Linked DNA regions of Diceros bicornis minor. The protein of the gene in region 1 interacts with the protein of each later gene in a pairwise test. Links are inferred from orthologs where the notes say so. Each region holds a gene or a part of one and is shown on either strand. Other genes may lie near its edges.

Region 1 (7,699 bases):
GACCATCTCATAGCAAATAGGTATACTTTATATTAAAGCACTGCCCTGTAGGTAATTTGGTGATTTTAGGAAACAGGAAATTATCATTATACCAAAAGTGCAATGAATTTCACATATTATCATAGCATGATGAATTTCAACAACATCTGGTTCTATTTTTTTTTAAAGGGCAAAATGTAATAGACTTGAATTTTGAAAAAATAATTCAGTTTCAGACAATGAGCTCAATTATACACCAAAAAAATAATGCATTTTATTTGCTAGGGTCTCTTCACAGCCATCACAATCATTTCTGTGCTGCTCTCAGGCTAAGCTCTGCTAATTAGAGCAACATCTCTTTACTGGTAAATATTTCGCGCATATCTCTGCAAAATGAACAAAATTAGAAAGGACTGTATTTCCCCCCCCCCCCAAAGCCCCAGTAGATAGTTGTATGTCATAGCTGCACCCTTCTAGTTGCTGTATGTGGGACACAGCCTCAGCATGGCTGGAGAAGCAGCGCATCGGTGCACGCCCGGGATCCGAACCCAGGCCGTCAGCAGCGGAGTGTGTGCACTTAACCACTAAGCCACGGGGCCGGCCCAGGACTGTAATAATTTAAGTCAGAGCCAAACTAAAACCACTTCGACAGATTTCAATACTAAATGTGACCTCTGAGGTCAGACTGCCTGGGTTAAAATTCCTGCTCTGACAGTTTCACCTGTGACAAGCTACTAAACATCTATTTTCCTGTCTACAAAATACGGTTGCTATGAAGATTAAATCAGTTAAAATAGATAAGGATCTAAGAGCAGGGTTTTGCACATTTTAAGTATACGCCAACTATCATTATTACGCAAGATAATTACTGCTGCCAGAAGGAGACATCCCACCTGATTAAAACAAATAACATTCGGTGACTGAAGCAAGATCTCTTGTGAACCACTCAGACAATACTTGAGGGTGGGGTAGCTATTTTCACTACTTTGCAAGTAGAATAAATAACAAGTCCAGGGACAAAAAGGTGGTTTTCCATGATACAAAGAGAAATGAGAAAACTGCCAGGACTTACCATCCATTGCTGTCAAGAGAGCAGTGATGATGGAGAACGTGGAAGGAGGACCAGGTGCACAGGAGATGGCAGTAAGGCAGAATCTTGGCTGTGTGAAATCTACATTAGAAAAGTCACCCTCGATCTTCTTTCTCTCTCACATGGCATATCCAACAAATCCCGAATCTTACAAATCTCAGGAGCTCTAACCTCAGAATTCATCCAGAATCTGACCATTTCTCACCCCCACTGCCAACACCATCTCCCTCCTAGTACAGAAGCAGTCCCCTTTTTCTTGTCTTCAAAGTATGGCTAGAGACACTTGGTTGAGGTACAAAGATACTAGATTATATGGATGAGACAAATTGGGAACAGGTATTATTGAGGCTGGTCTAAATATTTGGGCTAACAACCCATTTTATTTATTGTAACACATTTGATGTCTACAATATCCCTAGCAGCCTAGTGCGCGGTTCTACTTAGCTGCAGCCTTAGCCGCATCAGGATTATTCAATACTAGTTAGCAAAGCTCAGAGGCACAGCTGGCATAGCTAATTAGGATAAATTCATATTATTCCGCGCACTTTCCTTTTTTCATTTAAAATAATTTTTTAAAATTGTCAGAAGGTGTAAGTTTTTCCAGGCTATTATTTAACATATATGTGCTCTATAATATATGTGACCTTGGTAAGTCCAATGTCAAGGTATTAATTATGGTACTTTCTTTTTATTTATTCGACAAACATTTCCATGGACCCATCATGTGCCCCACACTGTGTTGTCTACTGGGAAATTGGATTGTAAACTTCTACTGGATTGTAAGCTTCTTTAGCATCAGGAGCAAACTGTCTTGTTCATTTCTATAACCAACCACCCTTTGCCCCCCTAATAAACCCATGCACTCTTCCTCACCCTCACAACTAGGACCATCCAATAAGTGCTATGGGTTCTAGTTCCAAAATATTGCTCTAACCTTCCACTTCCCTAACTTCACTACCCAAAGCCTAGTCCAAGCCACCATCAATCTTCTGACTGGACTATACTGTATTAGCTTCCTGTATTGGTCTCTCTGTCTCTTCGTAATCTAGCTTCCCTATGACAGCCACAACAGTCTTTTCTTTCCTTAGTAATCTTTTCGGAACATAAATCAGATCGTGGCATTCCCTTAATCAAAATTCTTTAATGATTTTCCATCGCCCTTAAAACAAAATTTATAAAGCCTACGAGGCAATGGCTACTCCCCCTTGCCTGCTTCCACTTCCTCATCTTTTCTAGGCGTCCACTCCGCCCAACTCTACCCTCCCCACAAAGGATGCTCCAGCCAGACTAGCCTGCTTTCAACTTCTTGAACACCCCAAGTGCTATCAGGCCTCAGGTTCTTTGTCTGGGAAGCTCTCCCCTGCTCCTTCTCATCCTTCAGTCTCCGCTTAACTATCAGTTTTTTTCGAGCCTTCCAGTCCACCCTACCTGGCTAGACCCCGTTGATCCTCTCCACTTCACCCTCCTCATGACTAAACTGCCCCTTCCACTATCGTGTACTTGTCTGTTAACTGTCACCCTCTTTAGATTGTAAGCTTCAAGTGGGCAGAAGTAATGTGTGTTTGGAACACTGCACATGGCACGTATTCGAAAACTATTAGCAAATCATGAATTTTTAAAAAAATACGAATGAATGAGTAAAAGAAGTGCAAACAGCATGCACTAGGCAAGCGTTTTAAAAGGTTGTTTTTAAACAGAAAAACCTGATCCCTTACATATAGAAGACAGCCCGACGCCTGGCGCCTCCCCGATGCATTTCAGAAGTGCCACGCAGCCCCCAGCCCCGCACCGTCCGGTCACCCGCACCCAGCGGCCCCCCCCCCCCCGGCCGGCCGTTCGCCCGAGGCCGCCCCCCCCCGCAGCCCGATTCCGGTCTCGCCCACCTCAGCGCCCCCGTCCTCGGAGCTCTCTAAACTCGCCGGCAGACGCGCGTGGCAGCCCCTCTCCCCCCGCGACCCGAAGGCCACCCCACACCCAGGCCCCACTTCTTACCTGACTCCGCGCCAACTCTCCTCTCCAGCCAGACCCGCCAAAATTCCAACTTAACCCATCCCCGCGTCTGACGTCAGACGTGGGGCCGGCGCTGATTGGCTACGTCAGAGCTCTCGGAGTGGAAGACCTACGAGTGAGCGCGACGCGCGCTCCTTGCGTAGAGCAAGCTGATTGGCTCCCGTGACCGGCGCCCTCTTTCTTGGGGGCAAGGGAACTTCCGGTCGTTGCTGCCGCGGGCTCCTTTAGATAAGAGTATTCTGGAGCCCCCGGCCAGCGCCGGGAAGACTTCCTGTGTGACATTTTCACAGGAGGTCCGAACTCAGTTCCTGACACTTTCCGGGACTGAGTGTGTCATCCGATCCTTGCGAGCCTCCTGTTCTCTTTCAGTGAGGTGGACGGTAACGCTGGACGCGGAGAAGCCCGCACGTGTACGCTTAAACCATGGAGCCCGTTCCAAACGTACTCCTGCCCCCCGAGATGTCCTGTGGGGGACTGATCGTGGAGAAGTCCCAACAAGCCGGTTGATTGTTTCACTTAGTTGGCTGTTTCACAACCTTGTGTCCAATTGAGATGACTGGACTCAAAAACAAACAAAAATCTGGTCGACTATTAACTCCGCCTGACCTTGGGGAAGTAACATCCCGTTGGGATTCCGCTTCACCATCTGTAAAATGCGAAGGAGACGCTGGATGGCAGCATTTGACACAGTAGAAACCAGTTTCCGAGGAATTCGTGGTCCGTAGACTTGGAGAACTGTAACTGGCGTCAGAGCTGAGAATAACTTATCGGGAGACCAGATTTTTCACAGAATATGTTTTAGTAAAATTCAGACTTAAATATTTACGGTCTAAAAATAGTGTTTGTACATAATTCCAAGAACACAGTTTCTAAATGCAGAATAATATGTAGCTTCTACAGAAATTCAGAGAATTAAAAGCAGAACAGTTTTTGATGGACCAAATGACTATTTTTAGTCTTTCTTTTTCCCTCTCTCAGACTATTTAGGCACTGCATTCTCCCACTGATAATGCATTTCATATAAGATGATATCTCTGTCCACTGTGTTTACCTTCATTTTCAGAAACATTAAAATCAGCTTTAGGATGACTGGAAAATAAAACAGTCCTGATGCCATCTACATTGATTTTTTTTTGTATGTCCTAATCAAGTATTAATGCTCCATTTATGAGCTTAGCCCTGTTATCTGGACCTATTATATTGACCCAGAAATAGGAACAATACCACGTTTAAGAGTGGCTAGTGTTGAAAAATTCACGGTAACAGAGGAACTATAGTAATCAAACTGAAGAAAGGATTTTAAATGCATCACATGGAATTGTAAAAGTTCATCATGGATTTATTCTTAGCCATCATGCCAACACTCCTGAACCAATTCTGATTCTTATTCTGAAGTTCTTTTCTTCCCCTTGAGTTTCCAGGTCCACTTTGCATCCAATTCCATGCAAGAAATAGGAAACAGTACTGATCTAAGGCCTCAAACTTGCCTCAAGTGAGGGATCAAGCAATTATGATTGGAATTAGTATACTGGTGATTTTGAGGAAGGAGGTGGAGGTAATTTGGAGAAAAAATTAGGAGGGAGAGAAGGATGCAGGGAGGAGGGGGGATGGGGGAAGAGAGGAGAGCTTGGGGTGTGTTTGAGGCAAGGCACTGAAGCAGAGAACACAGGAAGAACAGAACAGGGTTGGGGAGAAGATAGATTTATTTTATTTATTTATTTACTTATTTTTTAAGAACAATGATTCCATTCTTTTTTTCAGGGAAAGATTGGCCCTGAGCTAACGTCTGTTGCCAATATTCCTCTTTTTTTTCCTCCCCAAAGCCCCACTGCAGTGTTGTATATCCTAGTTGTAAGTCCTTCTAATTCTTACGTGAGCCGCCGCCAGAGCATGGCAACCGACAGACAGGTGGTGTGGTTCCAGGACTGAGAAACAAACCCAGACCGCCGAAGTGGTGAGCGCCGACCGTGAACCACTAGGCCATCAGGGCTGGGTCAGATTTGGTTTTTTTATATAGGTTTAGATTTTTTTTTTAGAGATGTGTGAAAGATACTGATTAAGAAAAGTTTGGGGGCCGGCCCCATGGTGTAGCGGTTAAGTACGCGAGCTCCACTGCTGGCAGCCTGGGTTCAGATCCCGGGCGCGCACCGACGCACCGCTTATCAGGCCATGCTGTGGTGGCGCCCCACATAAAGTGGAGGAAGATGGGCACGGATGTTAGCTCAGGGCCAATCTTCCTCAGCAAAAAGAGGAAGATTGGCATGGATGTTAGCTCAGGGCTGATCTTCCTCACAACAAAAAAAAAAGTGGGGGAGCCCGGCCCCATGGTTTAGCAGTTAAGTGTGTGTGCTCCGCTACTGGGTGCCCTGGTTCGGATCCCAGGCACGCACCGACGCACCGCTTGTCCCGCCATGTTGAGGCGGAGTCCCACATACAAAAACTAGCCGGATGTGCAACTATGACATACAACTATCTACTGGGGCTTTGGGGAGAAAAAGGGAAAAAAAGGAGGAGGATTGGCGATAGATGTCAGCTCAGGGCTGGTCTTCCTCAGCAAAAAGAGGAGGATTGGCATGGATGTTAGCTCAGGGCTGATCTTCCTCACCAAAAAGAAAAAAAAAAAGAAAAGTTTGATCTCCAGATATGGGGTTCAAAGGAGACGTCTGTACTGGAGAACAGCTTTGAGAGTCATCTGTGTATATCTAAAATGAAATCTGACACAAAGAATCTGTATTGCAGTGGTTTCTTAACCTTTTGGCAAGGGGTGATCACAGACCTCTTTGAGAATACAGTGAAAATGATAGGGTTTTTTTTTTGTCCCCCCAGAAAAGTGCACACTCGTACAATCAAGATTTTGTATACCTTTTCAGGGGATTCACATATTTTCCTGAAGACACCCCTCCAAATCAAGAACCTCTGGTGTACAAGGCCAGAAACCTGGGGAGCACAAACATTTGAGGTACAGCAAAGGAGCCAACAGCAGAAGTTGAGCAGGAGCAGCTGGAGTGGTTCAGGTGCCCCTGCTCTGGTCCTCTTCCAGCTGTGTCTCTCACACAGGGTAAGGAGTCCTGAGGCCAAGGGGATGCACCCATCCAGATCCTGGGCAACCTCTTGTAGCCTGAGTTCTAGTGCTTGGGACTGTGGGATTTTTAATGGCCCTCTGGCTTCCAGGACCTGCTTAGCCTCTTCCCCTGGTTGTCTTTCGGGGGTGGATCCCTCTGTCTAAGGAGTGGCTAAGGGCGGCTGTTTGGCAGTGGTTGTAGAGGGGTGATGGGAGCGTGGCTAGCAGGCTGGCATGTCTCCATCCTTGGTCAGAGGCTACCTTAGTGAGAAGCTACAGAACTGAGTCCAGATGAGAAGAGAAGGTGGGTTTGCAGAGCTGAGGCCCGCTTCTCAAGGTGCTGTGTTTCAGTGTGAACTCCAAGGAGATTGTTAGTTTTATCTATAAACTTTAAACTTTATGCACAGGGTATGTGGGCCTCCATTTATATTCTGACCCCAGTGTTTTCCAGTGTCAGGGGTGGGCCTGCAGGAAAATGATGGCCCAGGATGCCAAGAAAGGCGAGTTTTAAGAAGAGAGTATCGAATGTCAATGTTATAGAGCAGGGGTTCTCAGAGTCTGGTCCCCAGACCTGCAGCATCAGCCCCACCTGAGAACTTGTTAGAATCAAATGCTTGGGCCCCACACCAGACCTACTGAATCAGGAACTCCGCAGGTGGAACCCAACATTCTGTGGTCAGCCTTGTAATTATTGTCTCTTTCTGTAGCAGTGCTTCTAAAATTTAGAATGCATCAGAATCATGGAGATGCCTTTTAAAACATAACACGAAACAAGAAAGGGAAAGGGGCAGCAGAGTGGGAATGGTTAGTTGGCCTCAAGCCTCCTTCCCCCAAATGCCGCTGGCCTATATTGCTAAGTACGTCCCTGGTCACCCCTGCCAGAGTTCCCCATTCTCTATGTCCACTTACCCAGTCTTACAGATTGTCTCTCACATCTCCTGAGCCCATCCTCTCCTCGACATCCTCACTTTGGGGACCCTCCTTAAGCTCTCATCTCTCCTTTTTACCTCTAACTGGCCTATTTCCAGTCTCACCCACCTCCAACCCATTTCCCTTGTTACTCTCAATTACAGCGATATCTTGGCATGGCTTTTCCCCGATCAAAATTCATCAATAGCTCCTCAGTTCCTATAAATCCCAAACTTCTTGCCATTCAAGACCTTTACTTACAGACCTGACTCCTGCCTACTTTTCCACTAACCTCAGCTCTTATCTTTCCTCACTGAGTCAGTCTTTCTTTCAGCTATACTGACCAGTTTCCTCTTCCTCAAATATTCCAGGCTCTGGCCTGTCTCTGAGCCTTTGTACAGTTAAACCCTTCTGCTTGGAAAGCCTGCAACCAGGGGGTCAACTCTAACTACTTAGTCACCTCCTCCTCATCCAACCAACCTCAGTCCAGGTGTCATCTCCTTTGTGAAACTCTTCTGGACCCCCTGGGCTAAGCATTCCTAGTTGGTGCTTCCTAGAACGCTCGACTGGTCGGGTACATAGAACTTTCCACAATGTACCCTGATCGTTTATGTCTTCTGCTTCTTCCCACCATGATGTCAGCATCTGGA
Region 2 (8,058 bases), on another chromosome or scaffold:
TAGTTGCACATCCTTCTAGTTGCTGTATGTGGGACGCGGCCTCAGCATGGCCGGAGAAGCGGTGCGTCGGTGTGTGCCCGGGATCCGAACCCGGGCCGCCAGCAGCAGAGCGCACGCACTTAACCGCTAAGCCACGGGGCCGGCCCATGTTAGCGCCTCTTTATGACACTACACATTCTTCAACATAAACTCAAAGTCCATCCTCTCACTTAGATTTAAGCTCCTTCAGGGCAAACACTTTCTCACATATCTTAACATCCCTCAACCACAAACACAATGCAGGCAAGCACTTCATAACTACTTGTTAAATGTGCAGTGACTTAACGTAAATATACTAAATTACACTGGGCTTTGATTTCCAGACATTTCATGGCAGTTATCATTTGATGATTATTCATCTCCCTGTACTAAACAATATACATCGACGGTCTTAAGGAATATTCATTTAAGATTTTTTTGTGTGTGTGAGGAAGATCAGCCCTGAGCTAACATCCGATGCCAATTCTCCTTTTTTTTCTGGGAAAGACTGGCCCTGGGCTAACATCCTAAAGTAACTTCCTCTACTTTATATGGGACACCTCCACAGCATGGCTTGACAACTGGTGCATTGGTGCGTGCCCGAGATCCGAACCTGTGAACCCTGGGCCGCCAAAGCGGAGCCCGCGCACATAACCGCTGCACCACTGGGCCGGCCCCTCATTTAAGATATTTTTAAAAAGGGTCCAAAATGTAAAATACAAAAAAGATAAAGGAAAAGGTTACTTTTTACGATATATCCTATATATACTAAATGCACGTAAAAAGAAATACAACTTACCCTGATACAGCTGAAACAACAAAGCTTGGAGCAATGAGGACACAGGCGTGCATCCCGCAATTTCTCCATACAAATGAAACATCGGAAAACCTCAGCAATGCTCTGAAAATAGTAAAAGATGTAAAGTCCACCACATTAGGCTACTGCATGAAGAGTAAAAGGCATGCTTAAAATAATTCACTCAATATTTACATTTATTTTGGGCTGATAACTTTATACCATATCAGGACTTGGTTAGTCAAGGTCCAGGGTACCTGAGAACGTCTCCTGGAAAAGGTGCTTCCTTTTTTCTAAGCTTTCAATGATTCTATTCTAAGGAAAAGATATGAAACGCAAACATAGACTTATGCACAAATATTTTCACTGAAGCATTAATTATAATGGCAAGAATCTGGCTATTAGCCCAAATATCCAAATACTAATTAAACTATGGCAGTTAATACAGATTATGATAATCACTAGAAATATTTTTTGAATTATTTAATGATACAGAAAAATGCTTATGATGTATAACAGTAAGAAAAAAAAACTATATAATTGAATGAACAATATGAACTTTCTACTGTTTTCTGCACTTTCCCCAAGAGGATGGACTGCTTTTATAACTTAAAAAAAAAGGTTTAAAAAGATACATATCCTAATAGCAGTGTGCTTTGATCACGAGAAAAACTAATTCAGAATCCAGAAATCCAAATTTCTGCCCTGATGCTGAAACCAACTAGCTATTTATTTGAGCCTGAGATTCTGCCCCTATTGAGTTTTGGTGGTAGCTCTATGAACGCTCTGGGAAGAAAAAAAATTACATAAATAGAAAAAGCAGTATTATCTTTGCAAGCCTTAGATGAATCAATTTAGGAAGTAACTGACAAGAAAACAGATACAATTAAATACAGGTTATTATATATTTTATGTTTGTTTTTACAGTACTCACATTCATTTTGACTCCATTCCAGGAGAATTAAACTCTCCCAAAACCAAGGTAAGGTTACAAAACCTTTATGATACTTTCACACGAGGAATTAAGGAAAAAATTACTCATGAGTCTCATCATGACTCTGCAGGACCAGAAAGAACCTGTGACATGCAGACGTGGGGGGGTGGCCAATACGACCACTGGGTTAACTAGTTCCAAGTGGAGTGCCCAGTAACATAGTTGCCCCTTACTGAGAAGCAAAGATTTAGTACTTGGAAGGATCAAAATTTGACAATTATTATATAATTGAGTCTAATAAACAATCTTTTTTATGTTGCTAGCCTTAATGTAAATATCCCAACCATTCGAAATCACAGCTTACAAGAGTCAGATATAAAAATAATAGGTTTTTCCGGAAAACTACAGTCAAATAGGATAGTAAGAGTATATCTTCATTCAATCTAGGAAGGGCTGCAAAATGTACCGCTGGGCGGGAATGATTTGTCCATTCGGAAGATGTGGATCCGCGCGTAAACTCGCAAGAACTGGTGGCGAGTCGCAGGGCACGTCCATCTGATGAATTCGCAGTTTTGCTCTGCACACGCTGTACTTTGCAAAAACCCTGTGGGGATGAATACCGGTGCCAAGACATCCAGAAAAGGCCAGGATACGAACCATCTGACTGCGGGAACGGCCAGAGCACAAGGCACCTGGAAGGCTGCAAATAAGCGCTGTGTCCTTCGCACGGGGGGAGGCCCTCTCCACAGCGGCAGGGTGGGGTGCCCTACCAGAGGGAGGACTAGGGCAAAGCGCCCCGGATAAAGAAATAAAGAACGCTTAGCGGGGGGGGCGGGGGGTAGACTAACCACCACCCACCTCAAGCCCCCTCACCTCCACGCTCTGTTCATCCATTGCCTCCGGCTCTCGGCGGGGCCCTTGGCGACCCGCGGAGTCCGTAGACTGACCTAGAAGGCGCCGGCCCGAGGTCGCCGGGACAAATCGCCGCGGAGAACAGCCCGGCGCCCACGTCAGGGTGCTCCGACGACTGTCCCACCTGCGCGCCCCATCGCTTCGGGTTCGGCGCCAGCTACCCCCCCTTCGCCATTTTTATTCGCGAGCCCGCCACAGGGCGCAGTGGGAGGGCGAGCTGTGGCCGCAGCTCCTTCCTCCCGGCTCAGCCGCCCGCCAGCGACCGCGAGGGAGTCTCGGCCCACGTGACGCGGGGTATCGAACCGCTGCTACAGCCGGGCGGCGCTGGTCTCCAGCGAAGACGGCGGTGCAGGGAGTTCGCAAACACCAACGGTAACCAGGGCAGCTGGAGCCGCGGCGGCTAGGGAAGGCGCGGCGCGCATGCGCGCAGGACGCTGCGTTAGGGGAGTGCAGCGGCGGGGCGGACCCCTAGTTCCCGCGTTGCGGGTGCGCAGACGAGATTTGGCGGCTCGCTGCCGCAGGGTTGCGTGCCTTCGGCCCCAGGCTAGCGCAGGCGGCCAGGAGCTTAGCGCTTCGCTTCGCCCCGCCCCCCTCGGGGGAGGGGCAGCGCTCCACCCGTCTCAAAGTTTTGCGCGCCAATGACCGGAGGCACCTGGTGTGCTAGTGGAGAACGCCGACTCCGGAGCCACACCCTTGGGTATTCGGACTCGGTGATTCTAGGGTGGGGCTCCATGCAATCCACGTTTTCAACAACCACTCTGTGGCCCGCGCTTTGAGAAACCATGGTGCAAAGGATTCTCGGCTGGTAGTTCGTTCTCGGGGAGGAAGCCCAGATTCTCAGGTTTTTAAGACTTCCGCCCCACCTACGCAAGCAAAGCTCCAGATCATGAAGCTTAGACCGGTGGGGCTTCTCATTTCGGGGTGGGAGGAAAAGACCGCAGACTGTGTAGACATCAGACCGATACCACACCCCACCCCACCCCAGCCCTGCATTTCTTGCCGCTTGAGGTGAGCTGTTACTCTGGAACTATGGAAAGTGCACAAGGGTTATCAGCTGTCTTCAACTTTCTTCTATTGGCGTCTGCTTTCTACAATTCTCTAGCATAAGAGATGTTTAACGATTGCAGGAATTGAAGGTGTGAGATAAAGGACGTACATCAAATTCTTAATTTGAACTTAATTTTTCCATTCTGGTTTGTTGCAAATACCTACTATACTTAACCCAACCTAAAGTGCACATGTAGAGAATCAACAATCTAGAAAGAAGTTCTTGGTATCAAGGCATTTGGACTTTCTTATAAGTAGTGGATAACAACAATTTTTTTAAACTATGTGAGCCATGGACAAAGATATAAATTAGGAAGATTAATCTGTGACGGAAAAATTCGTTCACCAACAATTATTCATGGTCTTGGAACAACATTGAGGTGATGGTAGCACAACACCATTTGTACTAAAATGCCCTCAATTGTACACTTTAATAATGTTAAATGGTTAATTTTTATGTTATGTGAATTTTACCTCAAAAAAATTTATAGAACACTACTTGAGATTCAAAGAGTAATGAGAAATGGTCTTTGCAACCCAGTATAGTAGAAAAGAATAAGACAAATTAAAATATATATGATAAATATTACAATAGGTTCTTGTACAAATAGATATATTTGCCCAAGAACCCAAAAACGTTTCAGGATTTATTACAATAGTTTATAACTGAAAAATTAGAAAACCTGTACAGCTAGTCATTGGTTGCAAGCACAAAGTCAGATTCTGGCTAACTTAAGCAAAAAAGAAGTTAGTTGGCAGGATGCTAAACTACACACTGTGGAGTTGGGAAGCCTGTAATCTGCTCCATCAGAATTCCTTAAAGGCTGACCTTACTGCCCTCCCCCCATTACTGCCCCTGCCCCAGACAAATCTCCTAACTTGTCTATTATGCAGCTTAAAGCCTATCAATAAAGTACTAGTAAAAATTATGGGACACCCATATATTGGATTACAGCTGTTCAAAAGAATGGCAGATTTGTGACATGAAGATATCCAAAATATATTTAAAATGAAAAAACCAAGTGCAGCTGCAGTACAATGTGTGGTATCAGCCTATTTTTGTAATGAAAAAAAATTTAATTTGTATACATGTAGAAACATCTGAAGAAACTGCAGATTACTTCTGGAGAATAGGCACACTTGTATTTTTAAATTTCTTAAAATTAAAGTTGCATTAAAACAACTTAATTAAAATTAATTTTTATTACTTACAACTAAAAACATAAAAACACTATAGTCACATAAGAGAAAACAATTATCCAGATGGGAAATAAAAGGTCTAAATTAGGGTAGTAAGAATGAAGTGGAGGTTGGAAACTATGAACATTCCAGAGACAAAATTATAGATTTTATCAACTAACCAGAATAGTGGCCAATAACGAAATCAGTAAGTATTTTTGACGTGTTCAATTTGAATACTCAAGTAAAGGTTTTCATTGGAAATATGGATGTAGATCTAGTGCAAGAGTTATATTTGGGAATTATCCACAAAGAGACAATAAATGAAGCTTGGGAAACAAATGAATATATAAAGAAGTGCATAGAGAACAATTTTAAGGGAGATGAGGGGAAGAACCAACATTTCGAAGATAGCTGAGAAGGAAGGAAAAACAGTACAGTCTAGTATTTTTCCCAAGTGAAAGCAAAACCACTTGAACACCAGGAACTTGTTATGACCTCATGATACTATCATTTTTCAATCCCACCAATCAATATCATATCCCAGGGCCATCCCCCAACAGAAACTTCCTTAATATTAATTGCCTGAATACTGAAGAAAATTAATATCTGTTACTAAGGTGTGACTTATTTCTCTGTAATTTAAAAAAGGGGAGCTTTCTGTTCTTAAATTAGACAGGACAATTTTAACTGAAGCTACTCTCCCAACCGTGTCTGTCAGCTATTATAAGTTTTTTAATGGACAACTACATGCTCACAACAGAAATTTTTTTAATTATATGAAAGTGTAATTCTCTAACCTGCAGAACTAACATTTGATGCATTTTTCCTAGTCTTTTCAATGCCTTATTTTTATTACATATATGGAAAAACCATTTATTGAAGGATTACTAAATATCAGACCCAACCACTTTACCATCTCATTGTGCTTCCAACCATCCTGACACATAGAAGTTAAGTGATTTGCTCAAGGTCACATAGCCAGATTTGAAAACCTGCTATTTACATCTCAGGTATGACTCCAAAGCCCAATCTTAACTATAAAACTGCAAGATGTGCTTCTCTTCTCTCCCATTTAGCATAGCTTCAGCATTTCCCAGAACATTAACAGTAATAATTTATTGGCAACTTGACCTCTTATTGTATAGATACACATGATTTCCTTTCCTATTTAGATACCAGTAGCTGGATATGTATGTGTATTTCTATTATAGATAACTCTGATTAACATCTTTGTATCAAGATCTGTCCCTACTTTGAACAATTACCTTATTGCCCATAGTTATTTAAAAATAAATAGGGAAATTCACATACACGCACACACACACACACAAACTGGCAAGTAGCAATAGCCAGTGCTCCTCTGATTTCAGTTTCTTACTTTTCATATAGAATGAACAACTATAGTAATATAGGCTGAAAGAGAACAAAGGTAGTATTGAAATACAAGAGGGAGGGGCCAGCCCGGTGGCGCAGCGGTTAGGTGCGAGCACTCTGCTTTGCCGCCCGGGGTTCGCAGGTTTAGATCCTGGGTGTGCACTGAAGCAAAGCTTGTCAAATCATGCTGTGGCGCCGTACCATATAAAGTAGAGGAAGATGGGCATGGATGTTAGCCCCGGGCCAGTCTTCCTCAGCAAAAAAGAGGAGGATCAGAATTGGATGTTACAGGGCTGATCTTCCTCACAAAAAAAAAAAAAAAAGGAAATACAAGAGGGACCATCTGAAACAGCATTTGAAAGCAGAGCTCATGCTGTTCAACATTAGTAGGCATAAGGAATAGGAAAAAAAGAAACAAAAGTGAGGCTGTCTTAGAAAAGCCAGCTTACTACTAAAGTTAGGTTTTGTAGGAGACTGTAGGTCACATATTAGTCTCACAGATAATGTGAGCACATTTGCAATCAAAATTTTCCAAAATAAAATTATCTACATATATAATACAAATATTTTTTCTATCCTTTAATTTCCAAAGCATGCTCATTCACGTTTGACTGATAGTACACAAATATTCTTTTACAATAGGCCAGGACACCTATGTTATCCTAATTATACAAAAACAGATGCAAAATAGTATTAAGAGAATTCCTTGCCTGAAATGATAAGACTAAGAGTATGTGCATATATTTTTTAAATCCCTTTATTCCCATTCTATCCTTTTGGCTAATTATTAATATAATATCTGCCCCTCCTATATTCCCCTCTCTTGTGAAAGGCACACTATCCAGTCACCCAAGCCAAATCTTCTCCTTCACCATCCCCCCACCTCTAGTTATCAACTGCTAACAAGACATCTTCCTAAACCTCTCTGGAATTGATCTCTTCTCCATTAGAGTTCCCTCTTGCAGGTCCATTTCTTCATAAATCTGACATGTGAGATTTTAATTGCTCTGCTGCAGTTTTCTCTTCTTCAGTCAGTGGTGATAACTAGAAAACAAATGACAAAATCTTTATTTTAAAAGCTTTAAAGACTGTTAAATTGATTTAGTTAACTTCTCCTTTGTCACACCAACAAATGTTTCCATAAGCTCACACTATGTATGTATGTGATCACAAATTTAGGAAGGCAGAGAAAAAATAGATATTTGCTTATCTACATACAAGGTACTTTGATGTTGGAGTTTCCAAAGCACTTGCAATTAAGTTGAAGAAATAAGACCAAGAAACAATTTTAAGACTGGAATTTAACAGAACCAAAGAAGTCACATTTGTTTTTTTGTTTGTTTTTGCTGAGGAAGATTAGCCCTGAGCTAACATCTGTTGCCAGTCTTCCTCTTTTTTTTGCTTGAGGAAGATTAGCCATGAGCTAACACCTGTGCCAATCTTCCTCCACTTTATACGCAGGTCACTACCACACTGCCGACAAGTGGTGGAGGACCACGCCTGGGAACCAAACCCAGGCTGCCGAAGCAGAGCGTGACAAACTTAACCACTAGGCCATGGGGCCAGCCCAGAAGTCACGTTTGAATGCTATATTTTAAAAGTATTTTGAAAAAGAAGTGTGAACAAAAATAGTCTGGAAGTTTCCTCAGAAGTAGACACTTAGGCTAAATTTTGAAGGATAATTAAGAGGCTTTTGGCTGCAAGTTAATAGAAACACATTTCAAAATGGATAAATAATAAGAAAATGTATTATCATTGCACAATAAATACAAAAGGGCAAACTTCAAGACTGGTT
Region 3 (7,685 bases), on another chromosome or scaffold:
TTCTCTGGTGAGTGCATCTACTCCAAGGCTTCCCCACCATCTCTTCTGAGGATTCCTCAATCTGTTTCTGCTGCCCAAATCTCTCCTAAACTTGAGAAGAAGAAAAAAAACATTAATTTCAACACATCTTTGCTTATATAACTTTTTAAATAAAGTGCTTTCATTTTATAATGTTCTTTATTTTTTTTTTTAAAGATTTTGTTTATTTATTTTTCCCCCAAAGCCCCAGTAGATAGTTGTCTGTCATAGCTGCACATCCTTCTAGTTGCCGTATGTGGGACGCGGCCTCAGCATGGCCGGAGGAGCGGTGTGTCGGTGTGCACCCGGGATCCGAACCCGGGCCGCCGGCAGCAGAGCGCGCGCACTTAACCGCTAAGCCATGGGGCCGGCCCGTATAATGTTCCTTGAATATGTTCTGGTCAAAACCTTGGAGCTGAAGATTTAGGTCATTCAATGTCCAGAAAATGTCCACCCCATAACTCACTTAGCAAAGCCCATCCTCACTATAATCAGCTCAATCAGCTAAATCATACTCAACTGTTTTATTAGAAAAAGATCCAACTTCATTCTTCAATTCAAACAAACATATTAATAGTTGTTTCAAGAAATAGTCTAAAATCCATTGGGACACAAAAATATAGAATACATTTTGTAAAATTGATGATTAAAAGCAGTCAAATCAATATTAAAATAATATAGATATAATGTAATTAACTTGTCCATTTTTTATAATAGCTATGAAAGCATGAATAAATTTATATGCAGTTTCTCATTTCTTAATTTATAATATAAGTAAGGCATAGTTAAAATGATAAGTTACTATGAATTGAGAAGTATGATGAAAGTTTAAATATTTTTTTCAGTAACTCTGTGTGTGTGTGTGTGTGTGTGTGTGTGTGTGTGTGTAATTCCGGTATTCAGCTTCTGGGAAAAATTAAATAAGTATTATATAAAAATAGGTAAAAACTGGGGCCGGCCTGGTGGCACAGCAGTTAACTGCGAACGCTCTGCTTTGGCAGCCCAGGGTCGCAGGTTTGGATCCCAGGCGCTCACCGACGCACTGCTTGTCAAGCCATGCTGTGGCGGCATCCCATATAAAGTAGAGGAAGATGGGCATGGATGTTAGCCCAGGGCCAATCTTTCTCAGCAAAAAGAGGAGGTTTGGCATCGGATATTAGCTCAGGGCTAGTTTTCCTCACACACACCAAAAAGAATAGGTAAAAGCTGCCATCATTCCCACTGCCCTCACCACTACTTTTCATAGACATCAAGATCAAACCTCTCACGCGTAAGTAACTAAAGAGGAAGGCAAATGAATAAAAAGGCACTTAGTCATGGACTGCTAAAAACTACTTGGTCAGCAGCTAGCATACAATTTCCTTATTTTGCTAATAAGAGGTAGGATATATTAAATATTTTATAAGGTAAGGATTGACTCTATTTGGAAGAAAATATTTCATAATATGATTTGATACATATCTTACTGAATATTGCACACAACCTAAAAAAAGTCACATAAAAATTTAATCTGCTGGTTTTATTCAAAGTAAGTTGAAGTGTTGGTAATCTGGGAAAATATTACAGTTAGATTTAAAAGAATCAGCATCATTAACCTGTACTGCTATAGCTGTTTGAAGGAAGGTCCCTTCCCAGCCAAAGATACGTCTCAGGAAAAAGTGCCCTTATCTTTTAAAAATTCATTCTGAAATATCTACATGTGAAATGATATGATATCTAGGATTTGCTTCAAAATCATAAGGGAGTGGTGAGAATTGTACTTTACCTTTGTCTTCCTCCCAAAACCCATAACCACAGTCTAATCACAAGAAAAACATCAGACAAATTCCAGTTGAGGGATATTTTGCAAAATACCTGAGCAGTACACCTCAAAACCACCAGTGTCATCAAAACCAAGAAAAGTCTGAGAAATTGTCACAGACCAGAGGAGACCAAGGAGACATGACAACTCACTATAATGTGGTATCTGGGTGGGATCTTGGAAGAGAAAAAGGACATTAGAAGAAACTAGTGAAATCCAAATAAAGTACGGGGTTTAGTTAAGGGTACTGTACTGAAGCTGGGTCTTCAGTTGTGACAAATGTAACACAGTAATGTAAGACGTTAACAATAGGGTAAAATAGGCACGGAATACATGAAAACTCTGTACTATCTTTTGCAACTTTTAGTAAATCTAGGACTATCCTAAAATAAATTAAGATAATAATAATAATGGAGAGGGAAAAGCAGATGGGGTGGGTGGTTGGGACAGGATTGGCCAGATGTTAATGGTTATTGGGGCTATATAATGGAAGTTCATTATCCTACTCTGACTACATTTGTGTATATTTGAAATTCTCTAATATAACAAGGTAAAAAAATACATATATTGTGTTGGGGGTCCTCAAAACCATCCTCAGGTTCAGAGATTTGCTGGGAGGACTTGCAGGACTCAGCACATAATCGTACCCACAGCTATGATTTATTATAGCAAAAGGATGGAAAATAAAATCAGCAAAGGGAAAAGGCACATGGGGTGAAGTCCAGAGGAGACCAAGCACAAGCTTCCTAGAGTCCTCTCCCTATGGAGTCATACAGAATGTGCTTAATTCCTCCCCGGCATCAAACTGTGGCAACAAACATGTCACATTGTCTAGCAGGGAAGCTCATTAGAGAAGCCCAGGAGTTTTTACTGGGGGCTGGTCACATAGGCACCCTCAACCTAGCACATGTCAAGATTCCAGACTCTCAGAAGATATTCAGCATAAACCACATTGTCGGTACAAATATTTTAGACACAGTGAGCCATGCTTATCATTTAGAGAAAGGGTCTTATCAGCGTAGGGAACTGTTTACCAGTCAGGTTCCCAAATGCCAGCCAAAGGCCAACGTTACAAGCAGGCCTTTCTAAGGATAGCAGTCTCAGGCCTACACACACACACACACACACACACACACAAACACACACACTCCCCGAGGCATACAACTCTCTGGGATATAGCACAGAGATGTTTCATAACTCACACCCTCCGCCTGCCATGGAAGGTATCCCCACAACTCTCACTTGGAGACCTCATCTCCTATTCTGGTCCAGAAGTACAGGCCTGAAGGAGGAAGGGAGGACCTCTGAGGTGTGGAGGGCTGAGAAGAGGAAGTCCCAGATTTCTCAGTGGGCATAGCTGCAAATTAGCCTGGAACTCTGCACTCCTGTTCTTTGTTTTTTTTCCTTCTGTACATGGAACTTCAGTTTTGAAAAATCTACCCTGAGGAAAGAAGAGGAAGAGAAGGGAGGAAAGCAAAAATGGGAAAGAAAAGAATGAGGCCTTTTGAGAGGATGAGGCAGAATCTGGTCAGCAAACTGCTCCTAGATATCCTCTGGATCTGTTCTTAGTGCAGAAGGGTTATGAATATCATGAAGCACCTTTGAGTTTCAGGTTCCTAAAATACATACAAGTGGTGATGGCCAGCAGGCAGACAGATTTTGGAGCTGGTGAAAGGCTGAGGGACACAAGACGGCCAGGGTTCCCCCCATCTCCTTCAAACCAGGTAATACAATCTGATACACTGCAGTACACCAGCAATGAGTATTTTTGTTAAACTTTGTAAATATCTTATGAATAGTGTATTTGTATATGTGTATGTGTGTGTGTGTACTAAAAGAATTACTATAGCTTCCGTTACCCTGTTTGGTATTAAAAAAAATTTTATTTAATATGCCAGAAGTCTCAAAAAATGGAAGTCGCCCAGGATTCTCTTAATCTCTTGGCAGCCCAGGAAAGAGTGCTGGCTGGTGATACACATTTAGAAGTCATCAGCACCCAGATGTTAATCAAAGCCAAGGGAGAGAAGGGGGTCGCCCAAGAGAGCTCCTTTACGGGAAAGGAGGGCTCTGGAACCAGAACATTTAAGGGACTCGCTGAAGAAGAGGCGCCTACAAAGGAGGCTAACCAGGAATGGCCCAAGAGATTCTCCTATCGGGAGAGGAAAGACGGCCAAACAGGCGGGAAGGAAGACCGGGGGGGCGGCAAGCCAAGCCCGCGTTTAAGAGAGGAATTAATCAACAGTGTCAAACATTTGGCTAATTTTCCTCGGTCAGCACCAACCAGAATGATTCTGCCAACTCCTCCATCTCGCCGGTACTGTCTATACATCCCTAGTGGCTCTTTTAGTTTTACCCAGCGGTTTACTGTTTACTTTCTCCAATCAGACGGCTCAAGCAGGAGGTCTCTTACTCATTTTTCTCTTTCACAGAGCCTTACGCCTACTGCTCAGTTAATACCGTGGAATGATTTGAAGAACATTTGAACACCTGAACAAAGATCCAACCTTACAACTTGCTCCAGAAGCCAAATTCCCCAGGACACGACCACACTGCGCAGGCGCAAAGGCAGAAGCGCCGGCTTTCTCCGGGTCTTTGCGTTTGGCGCGAAATCCCCGCTCCGTGGGCGGGGCTGAGGCAGAAGCCGCGCTCATTGGGCAGGTTTGGCGCGAAATCCCCCGGGCTCCTGCGCCACGATTGGCTCCGTACGTCCAGGTGGGGCGAAGGGGCGGGGAGGCGGCGGCGCGCGCAAAGCGACAGCGTCCGGGGGGCAGCGACTTGTGGCGGTCGAGCGTGGTGGCCCCGTCAGCGCTAGGCAGCCATGGACCTCGCGGCAGCGGCGGAGCCGGTCGCCGGCAGCCAGCACCTGGAGGTCCGCGACGAGGTGGCCGAGAAGTGCCAGAAACTGTTCCTGGACTTCTTGGAGGAGTAAGTGTGCGGGCGCCCCTTCCTCGCGGAACTGCCCCTCCCCGCTTCCGGAGCCCGGGGGGCCGTGGGGTCGCTGCGTGTTCGGGAACCGAGGTGTCGCGCGCCTCTCAGAGCGGCCCACGCCCCACTTGGGGCTCAGCCTGGCCGCCGCGAGGAGCCCTGGACGGGCTGGGCTGGTTTCCAGGGGTACAGTCCATCTCGAGCCCTCCCTCAAACTCTTGCTGGGCCCAGTGCCCAGTGCTAAGCGCTTTACTCCCATCGCTCGGTCCTCACAGCCCGTGAGGCCGGTGGTCGTGTAGCCCCGGTGCCCTGCGCGGAAACTGAGGCTCGGTGAGGAGAAGTAAGAGGCCACGCGTCGACAGGGTCGGGCGGGAGGCCGAACTGGCCTTGGAATCCTGGCGGAGCCCTCATTGGACAGGCAGCCAGCACCCGGGTGCTGGGAGCCCCGAGGCCCCCCGCAGCCCTCGGGGCCTGTGCAGATGAAAGTACTGGAGTGAACCCTGGGGTTTGACAGCTGCTCGGTGAGGGTGAGCCCTGCCCTGCTTAAAAGTAGCTGAACGTACGCCCTCCATCCCCTCCTTCCTTCCTTTCCTTCCAACCCCCACCCCCACTTTTTTTTTGAGTTGCCTTCTAGGCTCCTGACCTCTCCTAACCCCCTCCCTGACTTTCCACCACGGCCACAGTTACTTCTCTTAGATAGTGTAGATAACATCACTGCTTTCCCTGAGAGTATGGTCTCTGCTGCCTCCAGGATGAAGTGGAAACACTATGGAATGTCTTATAAAATCCTTTTTTTTAATTGTAGTAAAATATACATAACATAAAATTTACCGGTTTAACCTTTTTTAAGCATAGAGTTCGGTGGCATTAAATACATTCATCTTGTTATGCAACCACCACCACCATCCATCTCCAGCACTCCTCTTCCCAAACTGAGACTCTGCACCCACTAAACAAGAACTCCCCGTTCCTCCTGCCCCCCAGCACCTCGCAACCACCGTTCTGCTTTCTGTCTATGAATTTGACTGCTTTAGGTATTTCATATACTTGGAGTCATACGGTATTGGTCCTTTTGTGACCAGCTTATTTCACTTGGCATAATGTCTTCAAGTTTCATTCATGTCATAGCATGTGCCAGAATTTCCTTTTTCAGGCTGAATAATATTTCATTGTATGTATATACCACATTTTCTTTCTCCATTCATCTATCCATGGACACTTGGGTTGCCTCCACACTTTTATGATTGTGAATAATTCTGCTGTCTTATGAAATTCTAATATACTTAAAACCATAATTTAATTTATAGTTCCTTACCTTTGGTGGTTATTCTCTGCTTGACAGCGGAGAATAGCTAAAGCCTAGCTAAAGGCTCATACTTCCTTTGTGAAACCCTATAAACTTTCCAGGCAGCACCAATCCTTTCTTCCCTTATGCTCCCAAGATGCCATTTTCCGTTATCTCTTGTAATGTAACATTATGTCTTTACCTGTCACCCACTTCATTTTGAATATGAATCCCATCCTTAACCCCACCTAGGCACCACACTACACTGCAAAGGTCCTCAATTAATGTTTCATTTCAACAAATAATATAATTGCCTCCACTGCCTTGCAGTTTACCAGGTAGCTAGATGCTGGGGACAATGATGAACAAGACAAATAATCCCTGTACTTTGTTGGGGGAAAAGATGTTAACTCCCTCTCAAAATAACCAACTTTGATTTGCCATTGCTTATGGAATAAAGGCCAAATTCTTCACAAGTCCTCTTTCCAGTTTCGTCTTCCACAACTGACCTGTCATCATCCACACTCCCCCCCATACCTTTTCTGACTTTGCCACATATTTGCAAACATCTGTAGCCAGTCTATCCACCACTCGTTTTTCTTTAAGATTGTAAGTCTTTCAAGGCTGAATTCCAGTGCCACCTTTTAGATGCATGAAGCCTTTCCAGATGTTCCTGTTAAGCAGAATTAGTTTAAATTCCCTTATCACATTTCTTTTACCTCCTCCTTTTTTTTCTTTCTTTTTCTTTTTTTATTTTATTGTGGAAAGAACACTTAACGTGCGATCTGCCCTCTTAAACAGATTTTTAACTGTACAATATATTACTGTTAACTGTAGGTACAGTGTTGTACAGTAGGTTAGAGCTTATTCATCTTGCTTGACTGAAACTTAATGCCGGTTGATTAGTACCTCCACATTTCCCCCTTCCTCCAGCCCCTGGCAACCACCATTCCACTCTTTGATTCTATGAATTTGACTATTTTAGATACCTTATATAAGTAGAATCATGCACTATTTGTCTTTCTGTGATTGGCTCATTTCACTTAGCTTAACCGTCTTCAAGGTTCATCCATGTTGTCACATTGCAGAATTTCCTTTTTTAAGGCTGAACAGTATTCCATTGTATGTGTATACCACATTTTCTTTCTTTATTCATTTGTCATGGACATTTAGGTTGTCTTGTACCGCTGTTTAGTAGGAATGTCTGCTAGAGAGTGTCAACCCAGGAACAACACTGTCATTTTCAGTTTCAGGTACCTTTGGCATAGTACTTTGCGTATAGATGTTGTTCAGTAAATATAACAGAGTTAGAACATGCTATTATAGGAGAAGGAATTGATTTCACCTCAAAACTAATCTGCGTGTTATGTTAAAAGACCAAAAAGCAAATATGTTTGTATAATACTCCTTTTGGAAACAAGCACACACCAGCTTTATTTTGTGTATATATATGTTTCTGTTTTCCTGAGATCTTGGGCAGTGAAGCACCTCATTTCTGTGTATTTTTATTCTCGTTCTTAAATCAGCAACTAATCTGTCAGTTTCCCTATAAAAATTGAATCTTTGGATTTTAATTTGAATTTCTTGCTTTAACATTTTCCAATCTTAATTATACATAACAGTAATAAAAGTAGTTAGTATTTGTTGATGAGAAAA

What was found.
Region 2: the proteins of MCM10 (region 1) and TRIM37 interact in a two-hybrid assay, tested with the Homo sapiens proteins (2 studies listed by BioGRID and IntAct). The link is inferred for Diceros bicornis minor from reciprocal best matches to the Homo sapiens genes MCM10 and TRIM37.
Region 3: the proteins of MCM10 (region 1) and MCM6 interact in binary tests that used the Homo sapiens proteins (3 or more experiments, as listed by UniProt). The two-hybrid records come from large-scale screens. The link is inferred for Diceros bicornis minor from reciprocal best matches to the Homo sapiens genes MCM10 and MCM6.

What each region holds. Positions count from the first base shown.
Region 1 is NC_080775.1:13,615,656-13,623,354, reverse strand, and holds the start of MCM10 (protein MCM10 homolog), read right to left. Parts: upstream 3,087-7,699; 5' UTR 3,062-3,086; intron 1,151-3,061; 5' UTR 1,059-1,150; coding exon 1,052-1,058; intron 1-1,051. UniProt on the Homo sapiens protein: Acts as a replication initiation factor that brings together the MCM2-7 helicase and the DNA polymerase alpha/primase complex in order to initiate DNA replication. Additionally, plays a role in preventing DNA damage during replication.
Region 2 is NC_080757.1:28,654,429-28,662,486, reverse strand, and holds the start of TRIM37 (E3 ubiquitin-protein ligase TRIM37), read right to left. Parts: upstream 3,088-8,058; 5' UTR 2,643-3,087; coding exon 2,622-2,642; intron 2,353-2,621; coding exon 2,215-2,352; intron 2,198-2,214; exon of another isoform or gene 1,755-2,197; coding exon of another isoform or gene 1,749-1,754; intron 920-1,748; coding exon 818-919; intron 1-817. Other genes in the region: SKA2 (spindle and kinetochore-associated protein 2), read right to left, coding at 7,295-7,307. UniProt on the Homo sapiens protein: E3 ubiquitin-protein ligase required to prevent centriole reduplication. Probably acts by ubiquitinating positive regulators of centriole reduplication.
Region 3 is NC_080749.1:21,381,861-21,389,545, reverse strand, and holds the start of MCM6 (DNA replication licensing factor MCM6), read left to right. Parts: upstream 1-4,596; 5' UTR 4,597-4,637; coding exon 4,638-4,744; intron 4,745-7,685. UniProt on the Homo sapiens protein: Acts as a component of the MCM2-7 complex (MCM complex) which is the replicative helicase essential for 'once per cell cycle' DNA replication initiation and elongation in eukaryotic cells.